2 linked regions of the Cricetulus griseus genome follow. The protein of the gene in region 2 binds, or shares a complex with, the protein of the main gene of each other region. Links are inferred from orthologs where the notes say so. Each region holds a gene or a part of one and is shown on either strand. Other genes may lie near its edges.

What was found.
Region 1: the proteins of Mki67 (region 2) and Nifk are in contact, whole or in part, in an NMR structure (PDB 2AFF), measured with the Homo sapiens proteins. The link is inferred for Cricetulus griseus from reciprocal best matches to the Homo sapiens genes MKI67 and NIFK. Residues at the interface, in NP_002408.3 of Homo sapiens: Thr9, Ile10, Lys11, Arg12, Ser13, Pro18, His19, Phe20, Pro21, Ser23, Leu24, Arg31, Gly32, Ile33, Glu34, Cys35, Asp36, Ile37, Arg38, Ile39, Gln40, Leu41, Pro42, Val43, Val44, Ser45, Lys46, Thr66, Asn67, Ile91; in NP_115766.3 of Homo sapiens: Val228, Asp229, Ser230, Gln231, Gly232, Pro233, Thr234, Pro235, Val236, Cys237, Phe241, Leu242, Arg245, Gln248, Val249, Leu252, Asp256, Lys257, Asp259, Glu260, Ile261, Val262, Phe263, Lys264, Gln265, Pro266, Ile267.

What each region holds. Positions count from the first base shown.
Region 1 is NC_048598.1:70,205,151-70,209,451, forward strand, and holds the start of Nifk (MKI67 FHA domain-interacting nucleolar phosphoprotein), read right to left. Parts: upstream 2,939-4,301; 5' UTR 2,882-2,938; coding exon 2,777-2,881; intron 860-2,776; coding exon 722-859; intron 1-721.
Region 2 is NC_048596.1:65,233,791-65,237,602, reverse strand, and holds part of Mki67 (proliferation marker protein Ki-67), read right to left. Parts: coding exon 3,652-3,812; intron 3,335-3,651; coding exon 628-3,334; intron 1-627. UniProt on the Homo sapiens protein: Protein that associates with the surface of mitotic chromosomes and acts both as a chromosome repellent during early mitosis and chromosome attractant during late mitosis.

The sequences.
Region 1 (4,301 bases), on a different chromosome or scaffold from region 2:
AATAAAATAACCTGTAATAATCAGATTGCTATGAAACCATGTGTGTGTGTGTATTCCACCCCATACTTAGAGCAAAAGTGCTCTTACCATTAAGTCATTTCCCTAGTGCCCAACCAGCTTAATTTTGAAACGTCCTCTCACTGTCCTGGAGTTGGGTGAGGCTTCATCCCAGGGATGAAGTCCCCACCTTCTTAGCATTGGGATTATAAGTGTACATGACCACACCTGGCTTTTGACCTGGGTTCTGTAGATTGAGAGTTATAGACTGAGCTATCTCCCCAGCCTCATGACTTCTTTCTTTTTATTGAGGAAGGATTCCACACTATGCAGCTGTGGCTGGCTTCAAACTCAAAGATCTGCCTGCCTTTGCTTCCTAAGTATTGGGATTAAAGGTACACGCTGCTATGCAAGATTTATTTTCCTGTGACTCCACTGCAACTCGTGTTAGTTTATATTTATTTACAGTCAAGCTCTCCTTATGTATCCCTGGCTGTGCTGGAACTCATGACATAAACCAGGCTGGCTTTGAACTCAACAGAGAGATCTGCTGGCCTCTGCTTCCTGAGTGCTAAGATTAAAGGTGTGTACCACCATGCCCAGCTTGTGAAAAGTTCTTGAGTGTGAACTTTGCAGGTAACAATGTTGTGCCTATGAATACAAAAGATGACACACAATGGAAAAACAAAAACACACATAGCTGAGTTCAGACACATAATCTTACCCGTTTACTTCTGGACAATCTGAATCTGCTAATAGTGCCAAACTGGGTAAAGTAGTCATAGATGTGCGTTTCAGAAAGTGTTGAAGGCAGGTGGCCCAGAAAGATCACTCCAGGGTTAAGACTTCCTTCCTTCTTTTGCTGAGGACAAAAACAACAAATAAATATTTTAAAAACACAAACTCATTGGGCTGGAGACATAGCTGAGAGGTTAAGAGGAGTGGCTGCTCTTCCAGAGGTCCTCAGTTCAATTCCCAGCAACCACATGCTCACAACCATGCGTTGAGATCTGGTGCCCTCTTCTGGTGTACAGATATACATGGAAGCAGAATGTTGTATACATAATAAATTAAATCTTAAAACAAAAACAACATACACACAAACTCATACTGCACAGGGTCTCACTATGGAACTTTGGCTGGCCTGGAACTCACTATGTAGACCAGGCTGGCCTCTAACTCCTGAATGCTGGGATTAAAGGCCCCCGCCACCATGCCCTTTAAGGGATATTAATTCTACAGTCTTTTTAGGGGAGAGGTAGAGATTTGCCTGCCTATGCCTCCACAGCACTGGGACTGAAGGTATATACCACCTTGCCTGGCTTGCAATAAAACTTTCAAAACCCTTCACTCCCCTTGGTTCAGAAACCTACTCATATCTCTATTACAGCAGTAATTAAAGAGCTAGGTGTTTGATGTCTCTCTTCCCTTAAAGAAAACTGCTGGGCTGCCAATGGTTTTCTTGGGGTCACAGTGCAAGAGACAGACTCGCAAGGGTTGTCTTCTGACCTACATATGCACCACGATGCACATCATGGACACACACATATCCATGCCCACCCACCCCCACAGAAAGTCTTTCATCTCAGTACAGCATGTGTTTTGGAGCTAGCTGTATTGTAAGATCAAACATCTGTCATTGTCACTTTGAACCTGAGACCTTCAATTCTGAATGCAGAGGAGTTTATTCACACCTATTTCCAGCTGTTAACCTTCGCGATGCAGACTGTACTTCTCTGTCACCATACTCTAACCCAGGTAGTGACCCAGGCCTACAATCCTAGCTGAAATTCAGTAAGTGGATATAAGAATTCAAAGCCTCAGCTGCACCGTAAATTTAAGGCTAGCTTGGGCTACAGTAGACCCTGTAGTGACATTAAAAAGTAAACAAACAAAAAACCAACCCCAAACCCCCAAAACCCTCCCCCAAAACAAAACAACAACAAAGAAAACCTTTCATTTTCTCCAGTGCATTTCAGGCTATAAACCAGGGGGAATATAAACTTTTGTCAGGGGCCACTGTGGGCAAACAGAGCTTGTCTTGTCTCTATCATCTTTCTTTTCCTTTGGGGAATGAGGGGGTTCGAGACAGGGTTTCTCTGTGGCTTTGGAGGCTGTCCTGGAACTAACTCTTGTAGACCGGGCTGGTCTCGAACTCACAGAGATCCTCCTGCCTCTGCCTCCCGAGTGCTGGGATTAAAGGAGTGCGACACCACTCCTTTAATCCCGGCCTTTCCCTTCTTTTCGTTTTTTTCAAGACACGGTTTCTCTGCGTAGCCCTGGCTGTCCTGAAACTGAAAATATCAACCTGCCCTTGCCTCGAGTGCGTCACCACCGTCCGACAATGTCTCTATTTTCTTTAACTAAGCCGTGATCTGAATGTGTAGTCCACACTATTTCTGACTCTCGATCGTCCTGCTTCCCCCTCCCCGGTGCTGGGGTTTTGCATCTTAATCCCGCCTTCTAAGCGCTCCAACATTAGGGCGCACACACACCTTCCGAGCGCTGCGGTGACCCACGAACCCTGCCTGAATTTGCGGGTCAAAGCGGAAGTGTGGCAGCTTTAACTTATCCTGACGTCTGGACGTGTCACGCTCCTACACGTGCTACCTCTTTGTCTCCACGAGAGTCCTGGGGGCCTAAAGAGCCAAACCCCACACTGATTCCCGGCCTGCCCCAGTCTCCTGACTTGAACCGCAGCCTCCAAGCCCGTGAGAGGCCCGCTCCCCATGCGGCCCCGCCAGCTCCTCCGGGCCGGAGCTCCCGCCCGCCCGCTCACCTTTTTCACGCGCTGTTGGACTTGCGTCACCTCCTTCTGAAACAGCGAGTCTTCCTGCGGGTTCAGCGCCAGATTCGGCTTTGCGGGGCCGTCTAACACCGCCATGCCGGCGGAGTTACCAGCGGGTCCACGCGGAGCTGCCGGAAGTGACGCTCCGGATCGCCTCTCGGAAGCGGAAGTAGAGGCGGGAGGAAGCGTAGCAAAGAACTGTTTAGGCCGCGGTGTCTGGTATTGGGCGGGCTCGAGCGCCACCTGCTGGCCATAAACTGAAAGTTTTCTAAAGAGGATTGAAAATAAACCACAAGGCAGAGGGTGGAGTGCTTGCAGAGCATGCGCCATGCGCCAAGTCCTGGGTTGGAAACCGGGACTGGAGTCCCACGGTTTTTTTTTTGTTTTTGTTTTTTTGTTTTTTGTTTTTTGTTTTTGTTTTTCGAGACAGGGTTTCTCTGTATGGCTTTGGAGCCTATCCTGGCACTCGCTCTGGAGACCAGGCTGGCCTCGAACTCACAGAGATCAGCCGGCCTCTGCCTCCCGAGTGCTGGGATTAAAGCGTGTGCCAACAACGTCCGGCTAGAGTCCCACGTTTGTAATCCCATCCTTTAGAAGGTGGAGACAGGAGCATCGGAGTCCAAAGCCACTCTCATATACATAGTGAGTTCGAAGACAGACTGGGCTCCATGGAACCCTGGCTCAAAAACAAACATAAAGAAGTCCCAAACATTAGCCGTGCCCGTCCTTCACTCATGACCCCCGCCGACCCCAACTCATTTGTGTTTTTTTGTTTGTTTGTTTGTTTGTCATTCTTTGGATTTATTTAACTTGAGACAGTCTCACCATAGGTTTCTTTATGGCATTTTCATACAGCCCTCGCTTGGCTCGGTTCGTAACCATCCTCCTTCCTCCCGCCCTTCATTTGGAGTGTGTGCAGGTGCAGTATGCATGCCGGTGCATGTATGCATGCCGGTGCCCATGCATGTGTGTGTGTGTGGGGGGGCGCAGAGTATAAGGACTTAGGCATTATGCTGGCCTGCCCCTGTCACCTGGCAGAATGCACTCAGGCAGTACCCTAGTCAGCCCAGCGTTCCATGGAGGTGCAAAGGACCCTTTTAAGAGAAAGACCCCGCCCACTTAAAGGTCTTTCTGCCAGCTCATTTCTTTGCACTCTTTTTCCTGTTGTTCCCCTGGGGAGACCAGGCTTTTCCTGTCTCCCTCTTCTCCCCTGTCCTCTCTCTCTGTGTCTCTTTACCTCTTTTTCCTTTCCCCTTCCATCTCTGTTCGGGTTTGGCCAACACCTATCCCTCCCTTGGTTCCCTTTCCCAATAAACTCCATGTGGATTTGTTGAGTTTTGTGGTTTGTGTTTTATTGCCCTCAGCTTCAGCAAAACAACAACACAGAGGACAAAGTCAGTTATCGTTCCTCTGCTGTTGCTCAAGGGTTTTTTTTTTTGACAAGAGTCTGGCCAGCTTGCTTCAGAGAGCTACCTGTCCGAAACCCCCAGCACTGGGATAAGAAAGTGATAATATG
Region 2 (3,812 bases):
AGTCCCTGGTCCTTTAATGATCACCAAGAAACAAGAGCCTGCAATCTGAGGGATGCTATAGTGATCTCCCTGTTCCAATCCTTCTCAAGGTTATATGAACCTTAGCACCTGTGTTTTGTTTTTGTTTTTTTAATTTAAATATGTGCATTGGTATGAAGGTGTCAGATCCATTGGAACTGGAGTTAAAGACAGTTGTGAACTGCCATGTGGGTGCTAGGAATTGAACACAGGGTCCTTTGGAAGAGCTGCCAGTGCTAAGAGCCGCTGAGCCAACTTGATAGCCCCAGCACATGTGTTTCTTATTTGAATACTGTCACATACACAGAACTACACTGCCCACCTGTTCTCTGGTTAATTCTTCAAACTAAAGATACATGCAAGTCATTCAGTCCCTGAGAACTACTACAGCCACTTTTAATTAGGTCTTATGCAGACAGGAAAACTTTAAGGAGTTTGTCCCTTGTGCAAATCCCCTAAGGATCAATGGCCAGCGCTATTAATGATGGTAAATAGAAACAGTAAGGAAATGACTATTTATCTGTGAATAAACCCCATTACACACAAATTACTGCAGCAAAATGGGCCCCATCCTTCCTGAAAAGCACCCACTATGTCCATCCCCATCACCTGGTCTGGATGGGCTGAGTTTTCTACTTGGGCTTCCTTTTCTTCCGTGATGTTGCTAATCTGCTCTTCCACTGGTTCAATTTTGTTTGACATGATTCTCAGCTGTTTCATCTTCACAGGCTCAGGTGACACATGCCTCTTGCTGGAAGCAGTCCTCTGTTTCTTAGGTGCAGGTTTCTCATCTGTTGCTTCCTGCTTTGGAGTCACAGAGCGCAACCCCCTGGTTCTTGGAATACTTCCATCTCTTGCAGACTTCCTCTTGGGTGGCAGGAAAGTGATGCTTTTGCTTTGCGATTCTGCAGAGTCCCTGGTATCCACCACCATTTCCAAAGTTGTTTCCGTAGTGTCCTCTTTAGAGGCCCTTAGCACTCTCCTGGATGTTCTCAGAGGTTTTATGGGGACTGGCATTTGCTGGAGAGTACTTTTAAGGCTATTGGTGTCATGTCTTAGTTTCTCAGTGTGCTCTGACATTTGAGTTATTTCTTTGGATTCACCCAGGACTTCAAGAGATTGGACCCCATCCTTAGGTCCTCTTAGCTGCCTCCTGCTGGCAGTTACAGTGGTGACTGTTTCTAATTTCTGCTTTCCAGGTTCTTTTGAAGCTTGAATGTCTTTGTCATCAATTTCAGGGACCTTGCGAGATCTTGAAGTTTGCCTTGATGATGGTACTGCCTTCCTCACTAATGAAGGCACTTCATCCACCTCTACTTTTCCTCGCCTTGTCCTGGGACGTCTTGGTGAGATCGGGAGGCTATCTACCTGTTCTGGTTGCGGAGAACTGCAGGGAATCTGTGTGGGTCTTTCATCATTTGCTGATTCCTCAGTATGACCTGGTCCCTTGGGACCAGGCAATTCTAGGGGTTGTGCCTTTTCCCTGAGTACTCTCCGTGGCCTCTTGCTAGCAGGCACACTTGCTGCTGGGTCAGTCTTCTGCTTTGTAGACTCCTTAAGCTCTTCAACATTTCCACTATCACTCACAGGCTCTTTTGGGGTATTCCTGGTTTTCCTGCCTGGTGGTTTTCTCTGTGTTGTGGGCTCTTCTTTCATGTCTATTTTGCACAGTCGTATTCTGAGCTGCCTCTCTGAGGCTACCGAGCTTTCCTTTTCTTCTGGTTGTGGAGATTCACAAGAGTATCTTGTGGCTGTTTCTTCTTGGATGCTGGGTAGCTCCTCTAAGGGTTGGGTCTTCTCCTTAAGTGTCCTTGATTGGCTCCTCTTGCCAGTTAAACTTACAGTTGGGTCTTGTTTCTGTGAAGAATCTTTAAACTCTTTGACATCTTTACTGTCACCCACAGGCTCTTTGGGTGTGTTTCTGGTTCCCCGTAACACTCTTGTAGTTTTTCTTTGTGCTATAGGCTCTTTGGTCACACCCACTCTCCTGAGTCTTCTTCCTGGCTGTGTCTGTGAAGTTGTGTCCATGGACTCTGGAGATTTGCTGAGCATCTTTGTGGTTTTATCAACAGTCACTGAGTCCACTGCTGAGCTTGGAGTTTGGGAGAGCTCTTGGAAGCCAGGCAGGCCCTCTAGGGTCTGTGCCTTTTCCGCTCGTGCAACTCGTTGCCTCTTGCTGCTGGGCACACTGACAGCTGTGTCCAATTTCCGCTTTACAGATTGCTTCCTTGTGCTAATGCCTTTGTCTTCACCTTCTGGTACTCTAGATATGTCCATTATTTCCTGTGACATTTGTGGAAGCATCCTGTCTCCTGATAGTTCATTTTTCACATGAACTTTCATCAGTCTAGTTCTGGGCTGTCTCTGTGAGGTGATTGAAGTTTCTGTTGGCTCTGGTGGCAGAGAGCTGTGGGGCATTTTTGTTAGCTTTTCACCTGCCACTGAATCCTTCTCATAGCCTGGTGTTTGGAAGAGCTCCTGGAGACCAAACAGGTCTTCTGGGGACTGGGATCTTTTCTTACATGCCCCTCGCTGCCTCTTGCTGCGAGTTACACTTATTGCTGGGTCCAATGCCTGAGCTGCAGATTCCTTCAAATCTTTGGTTCCACTGCCATCATCTTCTGAAAGTCTGGATACACGCATGACTTCCTGTGATGAACATCTTGGCTTACTTAGCAAAGAGTGCTTTTCTCTCGCATCCACCTTGTCAAGACCTGTCTTAGACAGTCTCTTTGTGCTTACTGGAGTTCTGACTGGTTCTGCTTGTACAGATTCCAAAGATACCTTTGCAGTTTTCCCAATATTCACTGGGTCACTGGCACCAACTGGAGTTTGGAAGAGTTCTTGGAAGCCATCCAGGTCTTCTAGGGATTGAGCCCTGTTCTTAGTTGCCTGTGAACTTCTACTCCTTGAACTCCTGGTAAAGTCCACTTTCTGCTTTGGAGTTTCCATAATGTCTATGCTGTCGCTCTCTTCCAGCGCTGATGCTGTGGGTGTGCAGGTGGCTCTGCCTGGTGACTTTGTTCGTTTCCCAAGGGTTGAAACTTCTTCTGTCACATCCACTTTCCCAGGATCTGTCTTAGACAGTCTCTTTCTGCTTGCTGGAGTTCTGACTGGTTCTGCTTGTACAGATTCCAAAGACAACTTTGTAGTTTCCCTAACAGTCACTGGATCACTGGCACCAACTGGAGTTTGGAAGAGTTCTTGGAAGCCATCCAGGTCTTCTAGGGGTTGAGCCCCGTTTTTAGGTGCCTGTGACCTTCTCTTGCGTCCTATTGAATTCCCTGTGAAGTCCAGTTTCTGCTTTGGAGTTTGACTCTCCGTGGCCTCTTGCTAGCAGGCACACTTGCTGCTGGGTCAGTCTTCTGCTTTGTAGACTCCTTAAGCTCTTCAACATTTCCACTATCACTCACAGGCTCTTTTGGGGTATTCCTGGTTTTCCTGCCTGGTGGTTTTCTCTGTGTTGTGGGCTCTTCTTTCATGTCTATTTTGCACAGTCGTATTCTGAGCTGCCTCTCTGAGGCTACCGAGCTTTCCTTTTCTTCTGGTTGTGGAGATTCACAAGAGTATCTTGTGGCTGTTTCTTCTTGGATGCTGGGTAGCTCCTCTAAGGGTTGGGTCTTCTCCTTAAGCATAATGTCTGTGCTGTCGCTCTCTTCCAACGCTGGTGCTATGGGTGTGCGTGTGGCTCTGCCTGGTGACTTTGTTCGTTTCCCAAGGGTTGAAAGCTCTTCTGTCACTTCCACCTTACCAACACCTGTCTTAGACAGTCTCTTTCTGCTTGCTGGAGTTCT